4 linked regions of the Arabidopsis thaliana genome follow. The protein of the gene in region 2 purifies or fractionates together with the protein of the main gene of each other region. This does not show direct contact. Each region holds a gene or a part of one and is shown on either strand. Other genes may lie near its edges. The genes, in order: EMB2770, STRS1, AT5G22320 and AT2G43770.

Region 1 (6,896 bases), on a different chromosome or scaffold from region 2:
TTGCCCGCCCTTACTTCATATCTAATTAATTTTATATACAATGTAATTAATCTGTTAGCAGTAAAGAGTAAGTACTGACTTAGAGGAAATGATCACATGTGCATTTTGCACAGATTCCGTAACAAAACTTACCTATATTTTACGACTCAAGAACATTAAACAGAACCAAAACAACATCTTATATTAAAAAAAAAAAACGTTAAACCAACTACACTTGAATTTCTTTTTATTCTTCATCATAAATGAATTGGATTGTTGGGCCAATTAAATACATTATCGTGTTCGGCTACCGATCACAGTTTTATGTAACACTCACGAGGAGATATGATTTGTTTAAGAAGATGGTTTAGATGATGTCTTATCTAATTAACATCAACTATAAACCTCTAACCATACCACAGAAATAACAAGAGCACAAAAGTCTAACATATAAGATATTTTGATAAAGTAATTAAAATGTTCAACAACCAACTAGGCACGGACATTTGATGGTACCAAAGTCAAATATGCGGTTCGTATATATCCACTTACTTTATATTTTGCTATTTAGCTCCACATTCGCATTATACATTTAACCAACGATAACGTTATCTATTTGTGTTAATCTTTTGGAAAAAATGTTAACGAACATGTTCTTGTCCCCATCATCATATGATGATGATTGCAAACCTAATATTGCATTTTTATTTTATTTTGCCTTTTGTTATGTTTTTTGGTAGCACTTTTGGGTCCATATTTTGGACACGTTGTCGCCATGTGTTCTCCAAAAGAACAATACATAATAAATTTGGATAATGGTATAACTAGTCTTTAGAAACTAGATATAGATGAGGTGATTAGTTGTGATATGCTAATTGCTAAATACAGCCTATTGTGGTCCGCTTTTGGTAAACCAAACAGATTGTCTTTGATTTGGTCCTCTTTTTTTTTTTTTTTAGTGCGGTCTGTTCTGATCGGAGTTGATCCTGATTATGGCAGTCACAATGTTCTGAGGGAACTTCCTCAACGCCAATTATTATACACTTGAAAGCTGACCAAATACTGGAAATGCAGGAGTTTCACAGACGGCCATCACGAGGAAACTGGTCTCACTTTCAGTTCTCTCTTATCTTCGGTTGAATCGAAACTAATGGACTGTCCACACAATATATCCTGTTGTTTCTCATGCCTCACCAGAGGTACTCGGCAAAAGACTAGAACAAATCAACCTTTGTACTTGCAAACTAGTTTTACCCAACAATAAAACAAATTGCAGTGTTACCACAGGATGAGAGCGACCAAAAGGTTCTCAAAGTCAAGGGTCTACTGAAGATAGGAAAACAAGTCGCCTTTGTTTGAGAATCAGCTCTCCAAAAGAAGGCAAATAAACTAGTTGGTTGATTTTAACAGGCAAGAGGTTTATTAGTATTAAGGCTAAAAAGGTTACCAATATCTTCTTCTAAGAATTACTATCACAGCTAGTGTTAATGGACAAAGAACTCTAAAAACTGTGTCAGGGGTTAGTTTTCTTACACTGTCTAAAGAAGCGTTGGGAGTGTGGGTTTCATGACTTGCCCACGCACCAATCTTAGTCACCAGGCAGACAAAAGCTCCCTAAGGATGAAGGCTAAGGCATGAAACGAACAACAAATGATCAGTTATACAAATAACAAAAGAAGTTTAATAGCTGAACACTGCAGCACACAGAGACTCACAAAGAAAACTGAAGCATTTAGTAAACTGAGAATTCTACATGTATCTGGTGAAACACTCCTGTAAATCAATATCAGGTCTCGCTACTGAAGAAAAACATGAATGGTTAAAAGTTGAGCCTGCAAAGAGAAAACAAGAACTAAGGTGTAATGTGCTATGAGCAGAGCTTGATCATGAAAAACATAAGAAAATTGATACTCTCAAGCAGAATTCTCTTCCTTGCTCAACGCATTCACAACTCTCTTCAAGATAACTTCAATAGGCTGGTGAGCATTTTCAACCGCTTTGGAGATGGCTTGCCATTTCTCGCCATGCTTCGGCTCACAAGCTACACACTTCGCCACAACTTCCTTCCTGTCCTCATCAGAGCCATGTTGAAGTTCAAATTTGTAGAACAACGCCCAGAAATCGCCAATATCTGGGCCAACGGTAACAGCACGTTCAAACCATGCTCTGGCTTTCTCCACCTTCTTGTCTTGCCAAAAGAGCTTGGCAACAGCTATGGTGACATGAGGGTCGCGATCACACTTCTTCATAGCATCAATACTCTTTGTTTTCCGTCGAGGACGTGGCGCCATCTCAATGTCCGCAGCCCAGAGGATACCACTCTTGGGACAGTCTTGCAGAGCCTTTGACATCAAGTGCTCTGCTTCTCTCTTGTTGTCATGCCTCAGTTCAGCGCGAATAGCAGCTAACCATAGCTCAGCCCCCCCAGGATTCTTCTTCCTGGCCGTGGTGAGAATAGCCCGAGCTTTGTTTAGCCCATTCACTTTCTCTTCAAGATCAGCGAGTGAGAGCCACAGTGGTATGCAGTGGGGACAGTGCTTCAAACCAGTGTCATAAGCTTTCCTGGCCTGTTCTAGATGCTTGAACCGTTCCTCGAGCTGCCCAAGCATTAACCAAAGCTTGAAGAATGTTGGGAATTGCTTCAAACCTTCATTAAGCAATCTCCTCTCCTCCTCTACGTTGCCAAGTTCTCTCTCAACAATGGCTGATTTCATCCAGACCCTTTCAGTCCCTCCTCTTTCCCTTGCTTTTGCAAGCAGCATTCTTGCCCTCTCCGGCTCCTTGTTCTCAAACTCAAGCTTGAAAGCAGCAAGCCAGATTTCCTCAGAGTTGGGAATTGCAGCATAAGCCTCTTGTAGAATAGCACGGGCTGCTGGAACATCTCCAGCGAGCCACTTCTCTTTGGCACCCATGAGCCAGAGAACCTCAGCTTGCGGGACATATGTTACAGCCTTACGCAACAAGGCATCAAGGGACTCCCGACTCCCATGGCTCTTCTCAAGCTGCGCCGCTTTAAGCCAGATACTTTTCTTGGTCAAGAATACACTAAGAGCATGGGCGTATATTGCTCTTGCGGTCTCAATGGAACCCCTCTTCTTGCACTCATCTGCATCAGCAACCCAAGTTCTCTTTCTATCCTCTTCTTCCACTCCAATACCTATTGTGTTCTTAATAATGGCCTGGCATGTAGCGACAGATCCAACTCTCTCACATGCCTCAGCCTCACTCATCCAATTTTCTCGGTCAATAACAACCCCTTCTCTCTGGAGAGTCTTTATACCCCTATCAATAATCTTTCCCACCATAGCCGTGTTATCATTAGCTTCATCTAGCTTCCCATTAGCTTCTTCTAACTTAGCAGCGGTGATCCAAATTGCAGGCTCCTTTGGGAGCTTCTCTCTCGCTTTGTTCAACACCTTCTTTGATTCAGCATATGTTTCGAGCCTCGCAAGTGCCACCCATAGCTCCAGATGCAAAGGGCAGCACTCCACAGCCCTGTGAAGCAAAATCCTTGCATCCTCCTCATTAGCCAACTCAACAACAGCCTTCCATAGTCTTACAGAGTCTGGAATATGTTCCAGTCCCTTTCTCAACACCCTACTCTTGTTCTCCACATCATGCTCCAGCTTTGCAGCCTCCAACCATAGCTTCACTGAATTGGGTATCAGCTTAACTCCCTTCGCAATAACCCCCTTGGCATCTTCTGGATTAGCTAACCTACAAGCTTCAAGCCAAACATCCTCATTTTTCGGGCACTCTTCGCAGCCCCTCTGAATCTGAAACCTAGCTGCTTTAATCTTCCCATCCACCTCCTCCACTCTAGCAGCAGCAATCCAGCCATTTGGATTCTTTGGATTCGACTGGGTCAGACTCTTGTATAACAATCTAGCTCTATTGCGATCGTATATCTCTTCATCAGTGGTTCTTTTCATACTCTTCAGGTCAGTTAAGTAGCCTTTAGGATCCACTACAGTTTGCCCCGAAACTGAATCTGATAGGTTATCAAGCTTCAGAGACAACACCGTACCTCTTCCCTCACCGACAGCAGTCAAGTCTGTCACCGGCGTCTGCCCCCATGGTGTCTCCGACCCACCAGCGGCTCTGCTCTTTGGGTCTAAGGCCATGACAAGCTCCTTTTCTTTCTTCGCCTTCTCCAAAAGCGTATCAGGAATAGGCACAAAGCTCTCAAACTTCTTCTTCTTGTTCCTCAGCGAGTAATCCCCAATCTCAGGAATACTATCCCACTCATCCGCAGACAAAGTGTGTAATTTCCTCTTCAAATCCGCAAACTGCTCAGTAATCTTAGGGTTCGAGGCTCGGTATTTCTCGATTTCTTCCTTCAGCTTCGCTTCTCTCCGATCTTTCCTCCTCGAATCCATCCTCTGATCAATAGACTCCCAGATGGCATCAGCCTCTTTATCATCCTCATCGTACTCAGCATTAGCGAACAAACCAACATCATTCCCTTCAAACTCATCAAACGTCTGATTCTCATCGTACCTTTTCTCCTCAGCTTCTTCATCGTCCTCCGCTTCCGCTTCACTTGGCTTCCCTGCTCCACGACCTACTCCTGGAGCAGCCGCTGTAGCCAAAGCAGACCGATCAGGAAGATCCGGAGCAGCACGAGCAGGACCAATATCAGATCGAGTAGTAAACCCAGTAGCACCACGACCCAAACCCGCTACATAATTTGACGGAGGCTTAGAATTGAGGAAATCAAGACGAGGCTTCGGCGGAGCCGCTTGCATACCACCCAAAAGCAGGACATGGATAATCACAGTAGAGAAACGAGAAACACCGAGATCGGACAATAAGATCGAATCGGAATCCTTTGAATCTACAAACACGCGGCTAGGGTTTCGCATACGGAGAGAGTAACGAAGGAAAGATTGTGGAACATCACTACGTTGGTGGGCCAATTGTTCGAAGGCGGAGATGGTGGTTGAATTAGGGTTCACGTCGATCGATAAAGTCTTCCCGTTTGGAATCGAGAGAAACACCATCGTAACCTAATCGAGATTCTCCGGTCAAAGAAACCAAACTATAAAAATCTCTGCTGTTACAACGAATATAAAGGGTGGAAAAAAAATAGTCGGTTCAGAGGTAAAGGCGGTGGGATATGTAGTGGGCTTTTTAATGGGCTTTTTGAACTTCATATTGTAAAACCACCGTTAGTATAATTCGAGCTTTTCATAAAGCGACACCGTATATGACTATCTCTGTGTGTTTTGGTTTTAAACGACGTCGTTTGCATGGCTTTGGGAAAAAAATTAAATGACTAAATATTGCGGTGAGCGTGGATCGAACACGCGACCTTCAGATCTTCAGTCTGACGCTCTCCCAACTGAGCTATCCCCGCTTCATGTAACACAATCAATGAGTAAAAGATATATAGAAAGAAAATAAAAACGAAAAGACAACGTAATGCGGTGAGCGTGGATCGAGATCTTCAGTCTGACGCTCTCCCAACTGAGCTATCCCCGCTTACTGACTCTTTCCAAACCAACGTAATAAATTACTAGTTATGAAAACAACAACTGAATCAAATAGATAAGAAGACATCCTTTCGTCTTTTTTGTTTCAATCACACGGACCAGAGCCAGAGGTGTGATATGTTTCAGCATCTTCTTCATCAACAAACCATAATAGCATTCGGAGAGGATATCCGTTGCCCAGTGACAACGACCAAAGCCAGGAATATATGGGACAGTGTAATAGGCAAGAAGAAAATAGAGCACAAAATAAAATACGCGCTGAATATCTATATATACATTTTTGCAGCAATTTTGTGAAATAAATCTTATAGTTGGGACTTATTTACAATAGCTGCCACTGGATTTTAATGTTTGTTTTTGATAATTAGAAAAAAAATCTTCAAATTAAATATTTGACATTTAACAATCTTCCCTAAATCTCTCCACATTAACTACACGATTAGTTACTAAAATAAAACTTTCAAAATATTTAATATCATTTATTTACTACAAAATTATCATTTTTGATATTGTTTTTCTCCATGACTATAACAATTTAATTATAATCGTCAAATCGCAGAGATATTTGATAGCATTTAATTATTACAAAATTACAAAATATTTAGACAATAATTCATAAACATATCATAAATAAGATTAACATTAATAAAATAAATGTTTTTTTTATGGGACGGGTTGGCGGGACGGGTTTGGCAGGACGTTACTTAATAACAATTGTAAACTATAAAATAAAAATATTTATAGATAGATACAATTTGCAAACTTTTATGTATACTAACTTTAAAAAATAAATTGTTTCCGCGGTGTACCGCGGGTTAAAATCTAGTATTTAGTGAAGAACGAAAAAAAATAACTAGTATATCACTTGTTGTAGCGAGCACGCCAAAATAGAATGCGACCTACATGGAGTTTAGAGCCAAAGACAGAAATGGAAAGGCAAACTGAAAGGCTTTGTGGCCGAGTTCTGGATCACCCAGCAAAGCCCAAATAAGAACAAGTATTGCTACAATAAGTTAACCAACAACCAAGTCCTGAACTGCTTAGCCGCCTCTAAGAACATAGCTCAAGATTAAAAAGAAATGGCAAGCCAAGAACATAGACTACCTCAAAACCAGGTATGAGCTGGAAACAAACCAAAAGTCTGACAATTTACATGGCACGAGATTTTCCTTAATAAAACAAGAAGCTGGAAATTGACTTAGTGCAGATTCTTTTAGTCATTGTTGCTGTTGTGAGTTGTGACCAGCGGCCGAAAGCGAAAGGAAATGGTGGCAGCAAAAGATGTGTTGAAGTGAGGGTTGGGTAAAAAAAACTTAGGTACTGAAATAATGATCACCAGCAAAACAACAAGAGGTCATTTTGACTATCTGTCAACTACAATCACAGTGATCAAACTGGACCTAGCTAATTATGATACAATCT
Region 2 (5,317 bases):
AGAAAAACCAGAGAATAAGAAGAACAGTAGCAAACGTTGTCCAAATCACAACGATGGGCAGGAGAGCGGCTAGACTGCCAAACAAGATAGCTTGTGTGTCCAACAAGACTCGGGACTAATCCGGGATGTCCACGACTTTACGATGCAAAGAACATAGCTTAGAACAAACACTCATAAATACAAACTGTCAACCACATTCGCAACCCTATAACACTTTAGAGCCATGATCTAAGAACATTTAGCTATGAGAAAAATTAATAATTGCAACAATAAAATATATGTATTTTTATATAAGTCGACCCAAATAGATCGTATAACATCAACTAAGAAAAAATCATGTAAAATGTAAAATGTAAAATATCCATCTAAGGAGGAGCCATACCACTCACGTTGGCTTTATGCAGCCAAGAAGCATCAAAATAGCAAAAATACTTCCTCAATTAGTGTCATTAATATATTGAAGTGTCTGATCAATTAATGTTTCAAGAAAAAAGATAAAACCTTTTTTTCATCAAAGGAAAATAATATAACCTTTTTTGTGGACAAATAAAAGTTTAATAACTAGTAACACAAAATTGCATACAAATATAATGAAAATTCTGAAATATATTTGTTTTTGTTATTCGGGCCAAGCCCCAGACCACAAACGAAAATCAAATGCAGGTTTCATTGTCCAAGTAAATATAATAAAATAATGATACCATTAAAATAATAAACTAAGCTAGTCTTCGTCATCAGAATTATCGAATGTGATCTTCGTAGCTTTAGGAGCATCAGCAGCTATTTCTTTGAAATGAGCTCCATACAATTTTGATTCCTGCAATTTTTAATCAAACAAAACACTCATCAATCACTCCAGAATCCAGATGATGAAGAAGAAGAAGCAATTTGTGTGGAGAATCAAAAATGTGAGGGAAGAAAATCAAACCTTTTTCTTTACATGAGTGCCAAACTTCAAAAGATCAGCTGGCACTACTTGTCCTGCTTCCCTAAGAACATTCACAAGTTCTCCTGCAAGACCCTGTAAGGAAGATACGATCAAATTTGAATCATTTCCATTCTCAACAACTCTGTGGAAAGGATGTAGCTCAAAGAAATTTTTAAAAAGAGTGTTTTCAGTATTACCTTGTTCAGTGGCGTGAAGAAGGTGTGTGCAACGCCCTTTTTACCCGCTCTTCCTGTCCTCCCGATTCTGTGTACATAATCCTCTGTTGTTAAAGGGAAAGTGTAGTTTATCACAACTTCCACGTCCGGGATATCAAGCCCTCTTGCTGCAACATCAGTAGCCACCTGTAATTTATAAAACAGTGTCAATGCTCTGTTTCAGAACCAGTCAATGTATTTTTATTAGCCATGGAATTGCGGAATGATAAGAGTACGCATACCAGTAACGGGCAGGATCCTTCTTTGAACAATGATAAAGACCTGGTACGTTCGCTCTGTGCTTTGTTTCCGTGTATAGATACAGCTTTCCAACCTCTAAAATAGTTGAGTAAATATCGAATTTCATGAGCAATAATATCAAAGATCTTTTTCTCTTTAGTTGATGTGATTTGGGCTAAAAGATCAAACCTTTGCTGAAGAAAACGCTCGAGACGTTCAGCTTCCACCTTGTATAAAGCAAATACCAAAACCCTGTTCCTGAAAATACCAAAACGCTTGGTATTAGTATGTTGAAAAAGGAAAGATCTGGTAAGAGTTCAATGATTAAGTAGCAAATTTACTTTTGAGATTTATGGTATTTTTCTAGTAATGCAATGAGACGCTGATCACGCGCACGTTCATCCAAGACCTGCATTTGTAACCAAACCTTGTTAAGAGTATCATATAAAGGACAACACTACTTGCTATGAGGATGATCCGATAGAACATACCTCAATGATTTGCATAACGTCGTGGTTGGCAGCTAAGTCTACAGAACCTATGATCACCTGAAAGAAATTTGAATGATCATCGGAAATTTTAAGCAACTTGCAGGTGAGGAAAGACAAACTGAGGAGGAAAACAGACCTTGATTGGATTTGGATCCATGAATTCCTGGGCCAATTTGTGAACATCCAAAGGCCAAGTTGCACTGAACATAACCATTTGACGAACTATAAGACAGATAAGAAAGAAGAAGAGTTTTCATTACAATTTAGCACATATATCAAATTTGGCTTCTCACAAGAATGCTAAGTGAAATGTAAAAACCACCTGCCTTTATTTGTGTTACTCAATATAAACCGGACAGGTTCCTCGAAACCCATATCAAGCATTCGATCTGCTTCATCCAATACCTGACATGTAGGAACTTCTGTTACCATCTAATAACTCGAAAATATGATTCCCGTTGTTTCATTATAGGAGCAAGAAACGATGCAACGACTATGATGATGATCCTACGAGGCTAAGTCATCAAATAACATAATCAAAAGATGTTCTGCTGCTTACGACAAAGGAAACATCCGAGAGACGAAGCACATTAGACTCAATCAAGTCTCTCAAACGACCAGGCGTACCAATGACAATATCCTAACAAATAAATCAAGAAAAAACATTACTCAACTGATCCAGAAACATAAGAGAATGTCCTAATCAAAGAACATAATAAGAAATCTTACAACTCCAGATCGAATTGCACTTATTTGAGGCCCTTTAGAGCTTCCACCATACACACAAATCGATTTCAAACCACACGGTTCTCCAGCTTCACGCAAAACATCAGAAATCTACCAAACCACCAAAAACAAACACAACACTAAGAAACTTGACCATACGTTTTCATTTTCACATTGTAATCATAATGAACAAGAAACAATATATATACCTGAACAGCCAATTCTCGTGTAGGAGAAAGAACTAAACAAGTAGGATTAACCTTCTTTGATCCTCCACCAATCTTCTTATTTTTCTTCAACACATGCATAATCGCAGGAATCCCAAAAGCCAATGTCTTACCTAAATACACACAAAACACAAAAAGTTTCAATCTTTTCAACCAAAGTTCAAAACTTTCACACTTCCATAAACATTACTAACCTGACCCAGTTTTCGCAATCCCGATAAGATCACGCCCATCTAACAAAAACGGCCACGTATGTGACTGAATCGGAGACGGCTTCTCGAAAGTCTTACAACAATCTAAAACATTCTCCGGCAAATTCGATTCAGCAAAAGTCTTCAAAGCTGCGTACTTTGCTTCTTCCACACCTTTCCCAGTCACAACAACCTTCTGTTGTTCACTCTCTCCTTCTCCTAAATCCTCAGCTTCAAGCTTCTTCTCCGGGACATCCTTCTTCTTATTCTTCTCAGACTCTTTCTCCTCTCTCTTACGTTTCTTCTTCTTCTCTTTATTACTCAACTCTTCCTCTACACCATTAGTGACCTCTTGAGGCACTTCTTCGACTTCATGATTTTCCTCTGTATGTTTGTTCTTCTTGCTTTTCTTCTTCTTCTTGTTGGTCATCGGACTCTCGACGGCTAAAGGTTCGCCGGAGACGGGAAGCTCTTGCTTTTGTCCAGCCATTTCTTTGTTTCGTTTACAGGAGAGAGTTGTTGATGAAACGGCCGAACGAGAGTCCGTTGTTCAATTTAGGTTTTTAGGGTTTTAAAGCATTGCAAAAATATTTTCTACAATTGCAATTTTGCCTACATAGTTTTGGTTATTACATAGAGAGTCTAGACATCTCTTTTGTTAAAGTAAAACCCAAATTTAATTTGATTTGTAGATCGATAACAAGTCTTTAAAGCCTCCCGAACGTTGCATACCAACCGTCGGATAGGGGATGACCCATGGACGCGAAAGAGGACGTGAGACCCACTGGTAGGGGCGGTCGGGGCGTTACAGCAAAATCGCATGTGATTGTTACCAGCAATATGAGTGTAAGGCAATTTTTGGATGTGAAGTATACAACGATGAATCTGAATTTATTTCTGTCCCTTGACCCCATTGTTGATGACAACCAGAACACACTGATTAAAAAGGACTGCTCCGGTCGGGTGGATAAAGACAAAGGGATAGTAGGCGATGCACAAGTCTTTTATACTAATGGCTTCAAAATGTCTGCTATGGTAACAAAACACACCAACCGGAGTTACCTCAACAATCCGACAAGTATAAGGAGAAAATTGTTTGACGACGCTGGTGTTAAGGGTTCTAATGGTGTTGTGCGATTTCACTCTGTAGAAACATCCAACGTTGTGACCATTTCTGTTGTGAATGATTTCTACAACAACGAGATGGGTGACGATGGTGTTACCAATGTTACTGGCATTATAAGACTTGCAAGGAGCACAAACGGAGATTCAAATTGATGATTAAAATCATTCGACGGTTAAAAGTCAAATTGAGGTTAGTTTTGATGATCAGTTCTCATGTTTGGTTCTTCACAAATAACATAATAGAGCTTTAATTGCGAAATTGATGAATTTTCATATGGAATTTTGAGTTGTTTATGTGTCATCAAACATGGAGGTAAATGTAGTTGTGCTTATGTGTATTTTGATTTTGTCGCTGATACATAAAAACCTTAATATTTTTCATCAAATATAGAAAATAGAAGGGTGCAAATTGTAATAAACAAAAGATTGATCTAAAACCCAATGGGCTTATTAGCCTTACATCCATATCCAAACAGACCCATTTTTCTCACTTATCTCACCGATGTGCCTCGCCGGAGACGCCGTCGTTAGGACATGATAAGATTCTGAAATGATCGTTTCCATCTGGTCGGATTGCTCCTGCTTTTTTTCTCCTTTGCCGTAGACTACGGAGGGAAACCAATATAATGGTAAAGTTTCGAGCTTTGTGTTTTGTTTCCGCCGGAGAATTATACAATTTACTGCTGAGAAAAGAGAACATTTTAATCATATTCTCTTTTTAATTCGTGATGAGAAGGAGTTAATTTGTTAGCCTATTGAGTGCTTATAATGCTACTATAAAAAGAGCTATTGATGTTCTGAAACTTAACAATGCAGAGTAATCTGAGATCATGGTCATGGACAAGCACTTTGGAGGCTCCATGAAATTACAGATAGAAAACTCAAGGTACCATCTCTTTTTACTTCTCGATGTTTAGTTAAATTAGTTTGGTTGTGTTCAAAGTTCTTAAGAGTTTAGACAGATACCAGAGTGACAGTAGTCATGCCTTAGAGTAACAGTGAACAAACAGAGAACAAAGGACTACTTTTGTTTTGTTTTTTAATTTCAAAGCATCCCCGAATAGACCTAGATTGGTGTGTGTTCCACGTCATTATGAAAGGGGTATAGGGTGGAGGTACAAGGATGTCATAAAGTGTTCGATTTTGCCCTTGGGTTCACTGTATCCATCACCTT
Region 3 (4,815 bases), on a different chromosome or scaffold from region 2:
TTGTCAAATAAGCTAAACTAAAAAAATATCGTTTACAATATACAATACATACTATGGGTAATTACATACATTCAATACGGGTAGATACGGACATTTTGAACTAGCAAATCGGTTTTAACATTAGCATTACAAAACAAACATAGGAAACAAAAGAAGATGACAAAAATTTCTAACTCTTCTCTACGTCTTCATAATATATCACAAATGTAGACCACATTTACACCTAATCGGAATAGTCTGCACTAAAATTAATTTAGTTTTCTTTTCTGAAATCAAAATTCAAACTTCTCATTGTCCAAACTAGTGTTTCCACATTTTTCCTAGCATTTAGCTTGTATCATTTTATTTCTCTTTTTTATTACACACTAGAAACTAACACAATAAAAATAACAAATATTAAAGCGTGAATAGAATGGTCCCATGGTCTAGTGGTCAGGACATTGGACTCTGAATCCAGTAACCCGAGTTCAAGTCTCGGTGGGACCTATTCTCCTTTTTTTGTTTTGGTTTCAATGACACAAACATTTTATAAAATTAGATATAGCTTCTCAACAGTGCAGAAAACAATTTATAAAGAAGATCGAAACCACTTTCTTCCTCTCCTATGTTCTTTAACCATATCAAAATACTCCCTAGCCGTTGGATGTTACAGACATAACTGTCCCTTCTTTTAAAGAGTAAAACACTCCCTCTGTTGCAGTTTACTCCCACTTAGACTCTCCTCCTAACCCGATCTCAACCTCCATGGGAAGATCAATCACTACACTCTTGCTTTGCTTCTTTTCACTCTTCTTCTTCTTCTTGTTAGCTTTAGTATCTATCACTTTTACTAAACCTGTCTCTTGGACGCTGCTTTTCTTCTTCTTCTCAATACCGTCTTCAGAACCCTTTGGCACATTTTCCCGGGAAAAGATTTCTGCGAAAGAGGTTTCAGCATCATCTATAGCATCGAGTTCCTCCTTTGGAGTAGCCCTTTTCTGTTTCTTCTCAGCATCATCATCATCATCATTGTTACTTGGGATTGTCTTCTCTTTATGTTCTTCTTTCTTTTTTGTTTCAACTTGATCTACATTTGTGTTGCTCTTAGACTTCTTCTTCTTGCTTTTGTGATCCTCATTGTTGACTTCTTCTTCTTCTGACTTATTTCTCTTAGAGCTCTTCTTGCGTTTTCGATCTTCTTTAGATTGTTCCTCTTCTGCTGATTTATTGTGATAGGCATCAAAGGTTTCATCATCGGTATCAAGCCGAATATGCTTTGCATTCCTTGAGCTTTTTTCTAAGGGTTGAGCGTTGAATACATTCACTGAAGGGAGAAGCAACGTTCTCACCTGCGACATCAAAACAATTTTCCTCATTCTTATACGATTTCTTCACGCAGTTACACTAATCACAATGGAAAAAAGAAGTAGAAAAAGTTGTTTTACCTTCTTAGCTGACTTATCGTTATCAGAAATCGGGTTTCCTCGAATATTCAGATTTCGCAAGCAAGATAGTGTACCCAAAACCTATCATTTGGGAGCACACAAATTTGATGGTTTATTACACGATCACCACAAAAACTTGCCACAAGCTAGGGAAGGCTAACAAATTTGCTTTCACCTATATGAATTAGACTATACCTCTAAACCAGAGAGTTGCGTAATCACATTGTTTCCCACATCCAAATTGAGTAGTCTTTTGTTGACTGCTAGTTCTGCTGGGAGAGCCTGAACAGTTAAGCGTAAATGAAATAACGATTAGCAATATAAACAAAAGATTGTGAGAAGAGGCAGGTTTGTTCTGTAGATTGCATAAATGTAAGAAAGATCACCTTGATTTCATTGTTCGCGAGCCGCAGCTCTTTCAAATCAGAGCATGACTTGAGAGAAGAGCCAATAGCTTTTATTCTGCAGTCAGACAAAGAAATCTGAAACCGAGATGGGATTAGACAAGGATCAGTTTAGTTGTGATTCCGAAACGGGAGGAAAACAAGAGCTTACTTTGGAGAGGTTTTTCAACTTTGAAAGTGAGTCACCTATTTCACTGATTGGGTTCCTAGAAAGAACTGCATGAATGAATCCATACACATTTAAGTAGAATGAAATTAGGTGTAACATCTAAACAGTAACATGTTGATTTTGATGTAAAAGAACATACCGAGACTGTTCAAGTCTTTGAGTAAATCAAGCTTGCAAATGGAGGAGATTTCATTGTCTACAACAAGTGAAACAATAACGAGTAAGTAATCAAACAGTAGCTTGTGGATGCAAAGACATAAAACCGTTGACAACTTACCATTCAAGATCAAGGCCCGTAAATTGACAAGAGAAGAGATCTCATTCATGGATTTGAGCTTATTCTTTCCAGCATTAAGCACCTGATAGAAAACAACATCACACAGTCAAATAAAGCACACATATTAACTCGTTTTCTGTCAAAACAAAGCTTAATCCTGGAGAACCTCACTATTGGTAAGTGATACAAATCTCAAAGAAACAAGCTCAGTGATATCAGTGGAACTAACCGTAAGCTTAGTGAGTGCTTCAATTCCATTTAAGCTTTGCAATTTGTTTTCCACAACTGAAAGCCATTTCAAGTTCACACAAGACTTGAGTCCCTAAAAACCAATTAACACATCAACATATAATAAGCTCTAGCAACTTAAAAATCAAAACTTTGGATGCTATTTATGCTTATAAAATGAGATTTATGTATCAATCAACCTGAAGATCTGTTAGATTGTTGAAACGAAGATCAAGCTTTTCCAAGTTTTTGAACTTGCTCAAACAAGACACCTAAATATACAATTAAACAATTAGGGTTTCGTATCAATTTCTACTTGGGAACAGAGTTTCAGAACAGAAACAATACTCACGTCGGTGAGAGCTTTATGGCCGAGATTAAGTTCCTTGACGGAATCTGGGTCATTGGTCTTCTTCTCTTTCAATACTTGTTCAACGGTTAACGAATTCATCGCCGTCTTCGTCTTCTTCCTTGTCACACAAAACCCTAGTCTTTTGGTTTCACCTTATTCAAAAGATTGTCTCTGTTCCCAACCGTGATAAGTCTTTACCCAAAAACCCCACAGTTTTCTATTGTTTATACATTTGACCTTGTTATTATTGTACGGATCAGGGACACCCTCTTATGGTACTCCTCCCACTTTGATCCTCAAGTTTTATAATCTCCGACTCTGCTGACTCTGTTCTGATAATAGAGTTTTTTTTCTTTCTTTTTGGCGCAACATCAACTTTTAACAGTAACCAAATAGACAATTACACAATGTTATGTTCCACAAACAGTTTGATCTTGAATAAGTGTATTGTAATGTAACAAGGGAACTCAATATGAAACCAAAAGTTTGAATCTCACGACCATGTATGTGTATACACGTGAAACCATATTTCAGTTTTCATTAGTTAGCACCACAAACAAAAAAATAGCACATAAATAAATGAATTCAGAGAAACCAAATTGTAATCCCATTAGACATTCTCCATATTCCGACATTACAAAATAAAACGACAGAAAAATTATGAGATGTTTCAACAAAATGTGCGATTAGTGTTCTTCTCATGAGATGTATTTTTCTTGTTGCTCATGCAAAAGCTTTGCTGAAGATTTAGCATCCAAGTAGAGTGATGTTACTTCCTCTATATCAGCCTGTCAAAATTTAAGATGAAGGATTAATAACATAACATCCACATATTTTACATTTGTTTTATTGTTCTAAGATTTCACAAGTAAATCTACCTTGCAAATATTGTCACGGCCATTCATTTTCGCTACAATGCTGGCAGGAGACAGAAGCTGCACAGCGTGCCTGAGAGTGAAAGCACAAAAAAGGTTTTAGTATTTAGATTCACGAACAGAAATTTTGCTTAGAAAAGCAATGATGACAGTACCTTAGTGAAGTTCTTTGCCCAATCTCCCCAAGTAGAACCAAGCATTCTTCATCCACGGTTAATTCTTCAACTTGCGCACGAATGGCTATAATCTGTGAACAAAATGATAAATCTATTAGAATGTTGTTCGTAGTAATTGAAATCCAAAAGCTAAATGACAATTGAGTAACCTGGATCATTTCAGAGGGATCATAGATTTGAGTCCGGATGATAACCAATCGATCTAATAGATCAATAGGGACTCCATGGGGGCTGGGCATATCAGTCCCTCTGCAAATAAAGTAAATCACAGTACCAAGTTAACAAAAACTCACAAGATTTCCAAAGGAAAATGTCTATCAAGGTCTAGCGCTCTTCTCACCTTACGTTGCAAACACCTCTATTTGTTGCAAATATCACTATCGGAGATAATGAGCTCTCAAGAGCACGGTTCAAGTATGAGAAGCACTCCATATCAAGCATATGAACCTGAGGTTTTATAATTAAACAAAGGTATTCTTACTGCTCCTGAGTCCTGAGCAAGATCAATAGTGGAATGAAAAAAAACTTTATTTGGGAAAATACCTCATCAATAAATAGAACTCCTGGAACAAGCTCTGCCACACCTTCATCTATATATCGGTTCACAACCTACAATGGCATATAAAAATATTAGACCTTGCAAAAGAGAAAGTAAGATGCTTAAAAAAATCACCCATGTACTAGCGAAAATCACCTTGTTAATTTCTTGCCGAAGCTTATCAGTGATCTCAGTCTTCCGCGGTTTCATCATTTGGCCCATCAAAGAAAGTATATCCTGGCCACCTTGAGGTCGAGCATTTGCTGCATCCAGATCTTGGAGTGTGACATCCTATCAGTCAAAAGTATATGGTCTAGTTGAGTAACAAGTAGTCTTAATAAACTTAGGAACTAAGGTTAATACACATACAAA
Region 4 (4,098 bases), on a different chromosome or scaffold from region 2:
GACCAGTTCCTGTTGGAGAAACTAGCGTGCTCATTGCGGTCTCATCTGTTCACCGTGCAGATGGTTTAGATGCTTGCAAGTTCTTGATCGACGAGTTGAAGGCATCGGTTCCGATATGGAAGAAAGAGGTTTACACTAATGGAGAGATTTGGAAGGAGAATTCTGAGTTTATGGAGAAAAGATTGGAGCTTGCAGAGAAAAGAGACAGCATTGTAAAAAAAACTGTGGTTGAAGAACATAGAAGAAGAGGTTGCTGTGGAAGCAAAGTTAGAGTAGAAGAAGATGAAGAGCATAAAGATATTACAGGAGATAACAAATCTTCTTCTTGATCACTTGTAGCAGTAACACTGTTTCGCTTTTTACTTTCAATAGACAAACTTTCTTAAGCACATTGTTGAATCTAAAGACTTATATGCGTTAGTTGGTTACTGGACTGGGCTTATACTTGCTACTGCTTGAATCTGTAAGAATCTAATCGAAGATACTGCAAGATTGTAATACCAAAGATAACAATTTTAAGGAGAACTAAAATGATGACCTCATCTGTTAAAGTAGAAGAAGATAAAGAGCGTAATGAAGATATTACAGGAGATAACAAATCTTGATTACTTGTACCAAAGAGCAATGTTTCGTTTTTTCTTTCAATAAACAAAATGTCTCAAAGCACATCGTCGATTCTAAAGACTTCAATTCCACTTAGAGTTGCAAAGGTTTCACAGCTTTGAAATTCAGATCTCTCCCAAGTAGATATTTTTATCACTACTGCAAGATCCAATGATAGGCTCGGTTGGGTGGAAAACACACTCATTGACAGAACCGGTATGGCCTGGGAGCTTATATATAGTGCGCCGACTGGTTGTGTCCCAGATATGAACCATACGGTCTGAGCTACCGGCAGTAACTTTTGTACCATCAGGTGACCATGAACATTTCAGCAGGTTCTTCTCAAAGTTGTGTTGATGCCCCTCAAAGATCTTTACACATCGGTTTTGTGGAGCATAAGGACGCATGTCCCACACACAGAGCTTGTTGTCCATTCCATTAGTGAGAAGGTAGGAACCGTCTGGGCTTAAGCTCATACCTGTGATTGTATCTTGATGGCCCTCAAGTGTCATGGTGGCTTCACCTTTTCTCAAGTCCCAAACCTTAACATCATTGTCTACACCACCAGTGAAAATCTTATCAGCTGCATCTGAGAAACTGACTGCAGTGATTTGGTATTTATCAGGAAATGTTTGTATGGCTCCTCTTTGACGCATGTCCCAAAGCTTGGCAGTTCCATCATCAGATCCACTGATGATAAGAGGTGGCCCTCTACGTGTAGGACAGCAAGAATTCACAAACGATGAATGTTCAGCCATCTTCTTGATTTGTTTCCCAGTCTCAACATCCCAAGCCCTTACAGTTTTATCCGGACTAGCTGATACAATCTGGGAGCCATCACTGGTCCAATGAAGATCAAGGATGGCGTTCTTGTGACCTTTCAAAACCATGAAGTTTTTGCAGTCCCCGTGAACTCTCCAGAGGAAGATTTCTCTGTCATGGGATCCAGATGCAATCAGAGTTCCAGCAGGATTGAACTTCATGGTATAGACAGCACTCGGATGTCCACTTAGCAACATGATAGGTGCTTCCAAGCTCGAGGTCCGGTTCTTGCCATTGGGACCAGGTCCTTGAGAAGCACTGTGTGGGACGGTAGACCATTCCATCGGCCTAGGACCTGACAAAGCAGTCTCATTCTCTCTTGACATGATTTCCATCTTAGCCTACTTCTCACTGGTAATCAAGTTAGAACCTGGATTCCATGAGAAAACGAATCAGAAGATTGAGCGAATTATAACAATATTCACACAGCTGTGTAGCTTTTATAGATATCTCAATTTCAAAATTTTCAAGCCATTAATCAATATAACATCCGAAAAGCAGATAGTAAACACCAAGAAGTATCATGAAACCTGCACATTCTAAGTAAAGCCTACAAAAGCAAAAGGTTGCAATGTTTATTCTCAAGCCGCAAGTAAATAAACACAGATCATTAAGAAATCGATATCTCTCTAAAACTTGTTGTGGTTTTGCACCAGAGACGAAAAAAGGACTTCAAGTCCGGTTACAGAGATCTCACAGATTCAATTTTGACATAAAGCAAAGCAACCACTAACACCAAATTTAGTACTAGCAGCTCGATTCGTCTCAAAATCGAAACATACATGCATGATTCACCTCCCATTATATTACAGACAGTGAAGAGTTCAAGAAAAAAAGCTTGATAGATACCAAAATTCCAGCAGAAGACTTCATAGAACGAAATTACTTAAAAGAGTAACCCTACATAGAAAGAAGTTACGCACCGAAGTCAAAGGAAGGGGAGGGAGGCACGAATCGCTCGGTGTCGTCGCAAAATTACCGGAACCCTAAACCCAGAGAGAAAAAGCTCGCGAGAAAGAGGAAGAGAGAGATTCAGAAATTAAACAAGTCTGTATTTAATTTTGGTTTATTTGCAAAATATTGATAAGACCCTATTTTATGACGGAATGAACCCGATACTATTCTTTTTGTCAAAATAACCCATCTCCTGCATGTTTTTTGGGCTGACAAATTGGGTTTCTTTTGATTGATTTTGACGGCGTAGTAACAGAAATTTATGGATAGCCACACCTTAGCTTAGACCAAACGTTTAGGTACAAAGAGTATGATAAAGTTGAGAACTTAAGACAATGTCAAGAACATCAAAACCATGTCCTGATCATACATTCTCTTGTTTAATCAATGTATTATAGATTGGACTGAGACTCAAACACAGATGCCACTCGATGTCAGAAACGAGCCACTTTCGTGACAAAAGAAGCTTGGAAAGCAAAGATAAATAACGGGTTTGGTTGGACATATCAAGCCAGTGAGGATTAGACCTTAGATGGAACCTTGGTGTCAGTGTCCACCTGTTTTTGGCCTTCGAACTTGTCTATAGCCACTTGAAGCTCGTCTGTGCCACCAACCGCCCTCATTGTGTAGAAGTATACCCCAAAAACAAAAGCTGTCAAGCCACCAGCTACAACCGTGTTCTTGCCTTTTGGGCCTAGGTAACTAAAACCTGGAAATCCCGCCATTACTTCAAAGTCTTTAACCTGCAAGATCCAATGTGTCACATGTTACAGAAGAGACCCAAGTATCAGAAGTATTAGATTATGTTATATCTTCAATATCACAGTTTCATAAATACTAAGATGAGGAATAACAAGAGAGAACTCTGAAGCATGATATAACAACTTTTGATTACTCTTTTTAACATTGCAGAAGTGACTCCAGAAGCCCTGAGGCATCGCAGGACATTGACATATTGTTCATATAGTGAAAAACAGATTACACAGATTGAATACGACGAATTTTCGAATTGTTATACTTATACCTCATCCTAAGAACTACTACGCCAAGAGTAAGTGATAGTACTCACAACGAGATCAAAGATGAGTACAATCATGGTATGAATGAACAACTGAAAGTTGCAAAACATTTCAGCAAAATAGAACTTTCTTCTGCATCATAATGGAAACGGAGAGAAAATCAATTGGTCACATTCATGCCCATCAGTCTAACATAATTGTCCACAAAATCAGCGCACTTCCCTTTAACGAGTCAATCAACCATAAATCATCAACCAAAGCAAAAATAAAGGCAATTAGAAACCTAACTCTACATCTATACATCCAAAGCTAACATCTTTTAAACGCAGGCTACTGTTACTCAACCAAAGTTCTCAAAACCAGATCAAAATGTCAAAATGAAAGGAGAGCAGAAAATATCAATCAAAAATTGGTTCTTTAAGCAAATTACTCCAAAGTCCACAAAATTAAAATGGAATCGAAAGGAACCTGGTGATGAAGGTTTGATGATCACTCGAAAATCCGAAAGATACAACAAAGCTGATATTTTTTTCTTCTACAGAGAATCGTGCCTAAATGCGACAGAAGCCTAAAGTTTCCCTATTTAGTTGACAACTGGTTCGGTGACGCTTAGTGTCGTGGCCACTTACCAATCTATCGAAAACCCTAAACCCAGTAAGAGCTCTCGTGTGAAAGAGGGATAGAGGCAGAAAGCAAGCCG

The links.
Region 1: the proteins of STRS1 (region 2) and EMB2770 fractionate together in Arabidopsis thaliana (co-fractionation; one large-scale study listed by BioGRID). This does not show direct contact.
Region 3: the proteins of STRS1 (region 2) and AT5G22320 fractionate together in Arabidopsis thaliana (co-fractionation; one large-scale study listed by BioGRID). This does not show direct contact.
Region 4: the proteins of STRS1 (region 2) and AT2G43770 fractionate together in Arabidopsis thaliana (co-fractionation; one large-scale study listed by BioGRID). This does not show direct contact.

The regions. Positions count from the first base shown.
Region 1 is NC_003075.7:1,515,519-1,522,414, forward strand, and holds EMB2770 (pre-mRNA splicing factor-like protein), read right to left. Parts: upstream 5,046-6,896; 5' UTR 4,983-5,045; coding exon 1,893-4,982; 3' UTR 1,695-1,892; exon of another isoform or gene 1,607-1,694; 3' UTR 512-1,606; downstream 1-511. UniProt on the Arabidopsis thaliana protein: Pre-mRNA splicing factor required for splicing and for the turnover of unstable transcripts. May be a U5 snRNP-associated protein involved in the formation of U4/U6-U5 tri-snRNP. Involved in responses to abiotic stresses.
Region 2 is NC_003070.9:11,478,112-11,483,428, reverse strand, and holds STRS1 (DEA(D/H)-box RNA helicase family protein), read right to left. Parts: upstream 3,667-5,317; 5' UTR 3,509-3,666; coding exon 3,022-3,508; intron 2,941-3,021; coding exon 2,810-2,940; intron 2,712-2,809; coding exon 2,604-2,711; intron 2,515-2,603; coding exon 2,434-2,514; intron 2,280-2,433; coding exon 2,201-2,279; intron 2,097-2,200; coding exon 2,011-2,096; intron 1,932-2,010; coding exon 1,875-1,931; intron 1,793-1,874; coding exon 1,725-1,792; intron 1,642-1,724; coding exon 1,573-1,641; intron 1,480-1,572; coding exon 1,386-1,479; intron 1,291-1,385; coding exon 1,126-1,290; intron 1,022-1,125; coding exon 929-1,021; intron 818-928; coding exon 722-817; 3' UTR 539-721; downstream 1-538. Other genes in the region: AT1G31960 (uncharacterized protein), read left to right, coding at 3,775-4,296; AT1G31950 (Terpenoid cyclases/Protein prenyltransferases superfamily protein), read right to left, coding at 5,235-5,317. UniProt on the Arabidopsis thaliana protein: ATP-dependent RNA helicase required for 60S ribosomal subunit synthesis. Involved in efficient pre-rRNA processing, predominantly at site A3, which is necessary for the normal formation of 25S and 5.8S rRNAs.
Region 3 is NC_003076.8:7,387,474-7,392,288, forward strand, and holds AT5G22320 (Leucine-rich repeat (LRR) family protein), read right to left. Parts: upstream 3,141-4,815; 5' UTR 2,954-3,140; coding exon 2,855-2,953; intron 2,775-2,854; coding exon 2,703-2,774; intron 2,597-2,702; coding exon 2,504-2,596; intron 2,357-2,503; coding exon 2,275-2,356; intron 2,194-2,274; coding exon 2,137-2,193; intron 2,045-2,136; coding exon 1,980-2,044; intron 1,907-1,979; coding exon 1,811-1,906; intron 1,707-1,810; coding exon 1,620-1,706; intron 1,506-1,619; coding exon 1,425-1,505; intron 1,329-1,424; coding exon 702-1,328; 3' UTR 531-701; downstream 1-530. Other genes in the region: RIN1 (P-loop containing nucleoside triphosphate hydrolases superfamily protein), read right to left, coding at 3,553-3,642, 3,733-3,802, 3,885-3,976, 4,055-4,154, 4,246-4,352, 4,449-4,514, 4,600-4,734.
Region 4 is NC_003071.7:18,133,544-18,137,641, forward strand, and holds AT2G43770 (Transducin/WD40 repeat-like superfamily protein), read right to left. Parts: upstream 2,494-4,098; 5' UTR 2,349-2,493; intron 1,796-2,348; 5' UTR 1,761-1,795; coding exon 729-1,760; 3' UTR 518-728; downstream 1-517. Other genes in the region: AT2G43760 (molybdopterin biosynthesis MoaE family protein), read left to right, coding at 1-329; AT2G43780 (cytochrome oxidase assembly protein), read right to left, coding at 2,901-3,122, 3,449-3,508.